Drosophila melanogaster: one gene and its partner. The protein of the gene in region 1 interacts with the protein of each later gene in a pairwise test. Each region holds a gene or a part of one and is shown on either strand. Other genes may lie near its edges.

Evidence for each region. The genes of interacting proteins can lie anywhere in the genome.
Region 2: the proteins of CG7544 (region 1) and CG1239 interact in binary tests that used the Drosophila melanogaster proteins (3 or more experiments, as listed by UniProt).

The regions. Positions count from the first base shown.
Region 1 is NT_033778.4:15,145,736-15,149,491, reverse strand, and holds the start of CG7544 (uncharacterized protein), read right to left. Parts: upstream 1,633-3,756; 5' UTR 1,527-1,632; coding exon 1,404-1,526; intron 1,343-1,403; coding exon 1,132-1,342; intron 1,081-1,131; coding exon 669-1,080; intron 609-668; coding exon 437-608; 3' UTR 415-436; intron 329-414; exon of another isoform or gene 322-328; 3' UTR 1-321. Other genes in the region: CG8089 (uncharacterized protein), read left to right, coding at 1,737-3,611. UniProt on the Drosophila melanogaster protein: RNA N6-methyltransferase that mediates N6-methylation of adenine of U6 small nuclear RNA (U6 snRNA).
Region 2 is NT_033777.3:5,731,876-5,735,284, reverse strand, and holds CG1239 (uncharacterized protein), read right to left. Parts: upstream 1,773-3,409; 5' UTR 1,669-1,772; intron 1,606-1,668; exon of another isoform or gene 1,599-1,605; 5' UTR 1,591-1,598; coding exon 853-1,590; intron 784-852; coding exon 619-783; 3' UTR 583-618; downstream 1-582. Other genes in the region: CG2100 (uncharacterized protein), read left to right, coding at 1-126, 188-523. UniProt on the Drosophila melanogaster protein: Probable S-adenosyl-L-methionine-dependent methyltransferase that binds and stabilizes U6 snRNA, probably by adding a methylphosphate cap at its 5'-end. Required for U6 stability, but not stability of 7SK snRNAs, other miRNAs or tRNAs.

The DNA.
Region 1 (3,756 bases):
CTCAAAGGTGTGGAAACGTCGGTGTGTTGACCAGCGGCGGCAACTTGTGCTTAGTGAGCGTGTTTGCCTCCATTTCGGTTGCCATTTCGACTCCGTTTGCCTTTTTCCGTCGAAGTGTGTGGTCAGCTGTGGTCAATGATAAAAGCGAAACGATAATTTCCGTTCGTGGAGCTGGGTGGCAAAGTGACCGTTGACATGCAAATTTCCATTTAAGGCGAAAGCTTTCTAGGTGCCTTGGAGTTGCTTTTTGGGATGAGCACAGGTGAAGGTCACAGTACATTCGAAAGTTGCAGCAATTCTCCAAGAACTTATACATTAAAACTGATGCCTATAAAAATGAAATTATTGAATAAATCTTATAAAATCCAAAATAAGTTAAACTACTTCTCCCCTACCATCTTAAAGATACTCTACCAGAGCTAATGGTAACTTAATTTTATGTTGTCCCCTGCTGTAGTGGCTCCGAGTGGAAGCTCCAGGCCACCGCCCACCGAGTCGTGTGTCCCTGATGGAATTCAGTGGTGCTGACATTCGCCACCTGCAGCTCCTTGAGGTAATCCAGTATTCTTGGAACGTTGGCCTTGACGCCCAGCATCGTGGTGAAGATTCTGCAACGCAGAGAAAACCAACGTTAATTCAATCTCAGCAGCTAATGAAGATTGACTCACCGCACACGCTCCTTGTTCTCCAGACTCTCGTCTATAATGCGTTGCACAAACTGTACCTCGCCACCCACGCAGGTGAGTTCCTCCTGGCTTCCAGTTCTGGCATTATTGGGTGCTGGTCGTCTCTCTGGATTCCTGGTATTGCCGCCTAAGGGATTTGGTAAGTTCGAGTCGAAGAAGGGTGGATTGCACAGGCAAAATTGATACTGCAACTGTTGCTGATCCTGCTCAAAATAGCTCTTAAAGATGTTCGTGTTGTCTGGTTGAGCATAGACTTCTATAAGGCTTTCCATGTGATTTCTCTTTACATTCTCCTTGGCGTATTCTATGTTTTGCGGTTTCGATTCCAAAGCCAACATGTGCCAACCATTTTTCTTGGCCCCAAGGAGTGAATAAATGCAGGAGGAGCCGCAGCCTGTGAGGAATTCACTTAGTAAATCGTTGTGACATACTAACCATAGCTTACCTATATCTATACCACGTATGTTCTGCAAATTTAGAGGTTCCATTAGATCCTCCAACCACAAAATGTAATTCAAACGTAGTGCTAATGTGGGCACCAAACTTCCGGGTGCAAAATCCACATCTAAATCGTAATATTCCTTCAACAGCATTTTGGTCAACTCACGAAGGGTCTTTTCATTGCGAAAGTTCACAGAAACCTTGCCATTGAGCTCCTAAATTAAGCAATATTTTATTAAAATCAATGTCTAAGCAAAACAAATAGTTTTTACTTACCAACTGGCACTGCTGCCGAAAATCTTTGTATTTTATAGCCATTTTGGTATAGTCGGGCTGCGTGCGTAACACATTACGTGGATGCATGCCGACTATCTTTTGGTTTCCCTTAGTTTTTACCATATTTCGTTTTCAAAAAATCGCAATTGTTAATGAAATAAAATGCCGCCGAAATTCGAACAGCTGTTTATTGCAGCAGTCCGGCAACTCCAGCGAGCAAGAGATGACACCAGCTCCTCTAATTGGTAGTTTTATTTGGCCCTTCTGTGCTATCAGTGACTGGTCACACAGCCACTTGTTGATTCAACTTTTGTAAACAAAAAAGTAAACTTAATGTCTTGGCCTGGCAAACTGCTAGTTACCTACGAAAACTTTACAACCGATTTGCCAGTCCTTAGCATTGACAAGAAGCCATATGGATGCCCTGCTTCCTGCCACTGCAAGTGCAAGTGCTGTCGAGGATTCAGGGAGAAGTACGTGGCATTCAATGGGGAAGGGGAGACCATATTTGGAACGGATTTCTCCAGCGAGTTATGCGAAGACGTTCAGAAAATTATGCGTTTCCGAAGCTCGGATATGCTGCTATTACTGCGCACAGCACAATTACGCGATAATTTCTGGACCAATGAGTATTTTAAGGCTGATTTACAGGACGATTTTCGAGCAATATTCGATGCCTTCGAAGAGAAGAACCGCAAAGTACAATTGGAAAAGTTAGCTGCCATTCTGGATACAGTGAGCAGCGGCTACAGACGTTCAGTTAGCCAACTGGCAGGCCAGGAAGCACATGGAGCTCTGCGTCCCAAAATTGCAGCTTTATTCCTACCAGGACTGCGCTGCGATTGCTACAAATGTGAGAATCTACCGTGGAAAAAGCTGCAGGACGTGGAGGATCATCAAAAGACGCATCGCTATTCAGACAACTTTCACTGCCAGATATGCTACAGGCGATTCTATCTGCAGCACTCGTTAACCTCACACATAATCAGAAAATCCACAAGCTCGCGGGAACTTCACGAAAACAAGAGATATAAACGACTACTGGAGAATCAGAAGTCACAAGAGGAGAAGGAACTGGAGCTATCACTTAACAAGGTAGAGGATATCTTGGTGCCAGTTGCCGAGGACCTGCAATCGTACTTTAAGGATGAATCGAAACATCCAATTCAAAAACGAAAGACTTCTAGCCTCAGCAAATGTCCAAGTTGCGCTCAGAACTATGGCTTCTCCTTTAGCCACCAGCTGCATATGGTTAAGCATAGACGGGAAAGGCTATATACGAACTTCCCTTTTCACTGTTCCTTTTGCAACAGGTCGTTTCTCACCCGGAAATTCCTACGTAAGCACCAGCAGAGGGTTAGAACATTCAGTACTCTGCTATATCGCCCCTTTAAGTGTCCTCACTGCACATGGAGATTCCAACTGAAGTCTGCCCTCGATTCACATGTACTGCGAATCCATGAACGCAGAAAACCCTGCCTAATATGCAAACTACCAACCTCTCGTCTATGCTGCTCTGCTCATACCTCTAAGGAATGCAATAGAGCCATGCAAAAATATCGGGATAAAATGCGTCCGTTGAGAGAACCTCCAAAGGGAGGCTGCAGGAAGCAACCCACTCCAGTCTGCAAAATCTGCAATAGGAAGTTCACGAGAAAATTTTTCCTTGAGGAACACATGAACAAAGCTCATTTGAACAAGAGGAATTTCACCTGCGAAATCTGCGGAGCGAATTTCTACAGTCAGGGCACCATGCAAACCCACCGAAAAGCAGTGCATCTTTTAGTTCACACCGTTCAGTGTGAAGTTTGCGATCTGACCATTAAATCGAAGGGAAATTACCGCAGGCACTGCAAATCTCAAAGCCATAAGGATAACCTTGTAAAGTTCGGGAAAAATAATGACAAAACAAAAGATAGCAATCGCCGCAAAGGGGCAAGAACCACCGATGAAAAGCTTGATATTGAAGCAAGTTCGTCAACAAACACATGTATGACATCAGCAAATAAAAGTACACATAACTACAAGAAAATGGGCATAAAAACTAAGCAGACCCACTTGAAAACACCCTGCAGGTCGAAAAAACGTGTCAAAATTAAAATCTGTGAAACCTGCGGAAATTCAATTGTGGGAAGTATGCAAAGACATTACAGATCCATGAAACATAAACTGAACTTGATGGCACAAGCAAAAATGTTCAAAAAATAATATAATTTTCAATATAAGGTTTAACTTCATAAAAATAAAAAAAAAATATTTTTCTTATATTTTTTGGGATGAATAATTAGAACATCAAATCAAGATCAAATAATTTATTGTAAGCACTGATGTTAATATAAATATATATTTATTC
Region 2 (3,409 bases), on another chromosome or scaffold:
CAGCCGATTTTGTACTTGGCAGGGATGCTGCACTCCGTGGAAGACGCCATGGAAATGCACAAACGCCTGAAGCTATCCGCCTACGAACGAGACCTGGCTAGGTTCATTACCCAGGAGCGGGAGAAGGTAAGAATACCGATCCGATCAAGTTAAAATTGCGTCTTTAAACACCAGTTTCCCTTTTTAGGTTGGCTCACAGTACACGACCCTGCGTGACTATCAGAAGTTGTGCTTACAAAAGTACATTCAAAGGGATTTCGTAGAACAGTTGCTGAAATACTCTGGCAAACTGGAACTTTACAACCAGCTCAAGTCGTGGGTCAAGCCGGACTTCCCGATCAGGGGAAATGCTTTGGCTCAGCGTGGTCTGAACGGAATGAGGCTTGGTTTGGTGATGGATGAACTGAAACTTTTGTGGGCAGACAGTGATTTTCAGCTAACACACGACGATTTACTGAAATGGATTCCCAACGTACTGAAAAAGATACCAAGCGCTCCTGGTAAAGTGAAGCGAATGAAGTAGTATTGATTACATTTAGATGTAATCGATGTAAATAAATATATGGGTTTCCCTTGAATTTTCAGATAATTTTCATTTCTTGATTTTCTTTTTATTTCCTACGACTTTGTAAAAATTTGGATCGGTCGCTTGAATCCTACTTTGCAGTGCTCCGGTATGCCCATAAGTTTCATTTCGGCAAAGCCCACTTCCGGGCTAAGCAGATATTCGGTGAAATGATCAGGTCGGAATTTAATTGCATTGTAGTTATCTCTTATTTGTTCCTGAAGAGATAAATGTACATACATTAAATTAGAATATTCTCTATCGATTGTCCGTCTAATAAAGCTCACCGATAGCTTCTTGCGCCTCTTGTAGCCGTCGAAGGACTGAGGTTCCAGGATCAGCTTGCCGCCCGGGCGCAGCTGCAGGTACATGCGTCTGAAGGCCTGCTTCAGGCCGGAATCACAGAAATTAAGGTGGATCCACTTAGTGACAGACAGGCAGAGTATGACGTCGAACTGCGGCCGTTCAATTTCGAGCAGGACGTCGTCCTCCAGGACGTAGTTCCCGTGCACAAACTGTATGTGGGGTATCCCCTGCCCCGGGGTTGCGTGACGTTTCAGGTGACTGACGGTTTTTTGGGCATCATTTATTAGCCCCCGATCTATGTCCAGGCCCACGAGGCTCTTAACCTCGAATTTCCTGGCAATCTGGATGGACAGGTGGCCAGAGTTGCAGCCGATGTCAAGCAGCTGCTTGTTCCGAAACAAATCCGGTTGCGTGCCAAGCACGTCCAGGCGTATGTCGTGAAAATCCTTGTTCAGGATGCGCTTGCCGTAGTAGTGCTTATAGTTGCCGTACTTGAAGTTAAGGTCCTTGTTTTGCATGGGCTTTCCGTTTAGATGGAGCCGTTTTTTGGGACTCTGCGCAGGCGGACGGCTTGTGGCCTCCACATTTGATTCCTCCTTTTTCAGTCTTTTGGATTCCACTTGCTTTTCATCTAATGTTATTACACATTTTCGCTTTTTCGCACATTTTTCGGCTTGTTTGCCGGTCAATGGCGTATTGTTGTTGTTCTCCAAATCCATTGTGAAATCCAAAGTATAAGAATTCATTGGTATGTTAAAATGACTTGAGGAACTATTGATGTCTCATTAAATACTCACTACATATATATCAATGAGTTTATGCCCTTGCCCTTTTATATCTTTAAAAACATACAAATTAAAATGTTTACCACATCTTGCGGTAATTTCTAACTTAGAGTGACCGTTTTAAATACCACTTTCCGCACAGATGATAAATATACCGAAATAATATAACTGTATATAGCACATGATGTAAATTTATTTTATATGCTTTACTTTCCCATAGTTTATTATTTATTCAAATTTATTTAAGTTGGCGTAATCAGTATATTGTAACTCAAAGCTCTGCCGGGACTTCCATACCTAAGAAGTTGTTATTATTAAACATAAGATACATATGTTTGTTTACATGATAATTTACGCATGTAGATTTCTACAAAGCCTGTAAGTATGCTATAAAAATCGAAAAAAGACCCTAACTTGAAGTGCAAATAAAATTGATTTAGAGCATAAGTTTAAACGTGGCTGATGTCACCAAAAAAAACGGGCTGTCCTTGGAAAATAAAATTAGGAGCTATTGTTGCATAGCAGCTCCTGCCCTATTTTATGGTATCCCAGTGTACGGTTTTGCAGCTAAAGCCCACCTAAAAAAAGTTCGAGTAATCACTGGACGTGAGAATCACTGGTGATCGTTAGTATATAAGAAATGTTTATATCGAACGTGATCTCAGTCACAAAAATAGGGGACAAAATCCAGAAGATGGCCAAAAAAATCACACGAGAGACTGGATTTACACCCCAACGCGGACCTTCGAATTGTTATAATGGTTATCTCTCGTATCCCCAATACAAGTTACCTCTATTTATATACATATATATATGATCGAAACTGCGTCTATATCTCTACAATCCGCATGCTCGATCGTATAAGTAAAATTTATAATTAGATTAAGTTGCCTAGGTGGTAGTAGTACGCTTTTTCTATAAATAAACTCTTCTTTCTAATATAAAATTTAAAAGTCAATTTAATTTGTTTTCTGGCTGAATGAAATGAAATTTTTATATACTTCAGAAAATAAGTGGACACTAGAAAGGAAATCAATGAAAGACTATAATGAAAATACCCAAGTATCTATACGATTTTTTATTATACCCGTTACTTGTACTAGAATCGTTGAAAAGTATGTCCCTTCTGCCTGGATCTAATCGATTTGTCCATGTCCGTTTGTCCGTTCGTCCGTCCGTATGAAAGTCGTGATCTCAGGAACTAGAAAATGTTGAGATTAAGCATGCGGATTGTAGAGATATAGACGCAGTTTCGATCATACTTCCAGATGAGTAACGGGTATCTGATAGTCAAGGTACTCGACTATAGCATTCTCTCTTGTGCTACATTTGTGTTTCTTTTTTAAAATATGTAATATGTAATTTCTTAAGTGCGCATATACATACGTATCTCCCAACGGTGTTAAGCAAAAAAATTGTTTTCGCCATTGATTTTATTCCGATTTCTGCACAGCCATGGCCATTTCGGTTGGAGGTAAATGCTTTTGCTCAATTTACATAACAAAGCCCGCTTAATGAAAGCATAATATATGTTTTTGCAAATTGAAATCCTCGTTTTGTTTGCCGCATCGGCTAAAAGTGTCGGCTGCAACCACGCATCATACAGATTCCTAACCATCCGCGCGTGCCGCACGATGACCCTTATCGGTGAAATGGACTGGGGAGAGAAATACGAACAATGCGATGATAGTTTCGGCTAGGTGAGGACCAGTGGTCAGTTAAAGTGCGGCCAAGGGTTGAACGGGAAGGGCCG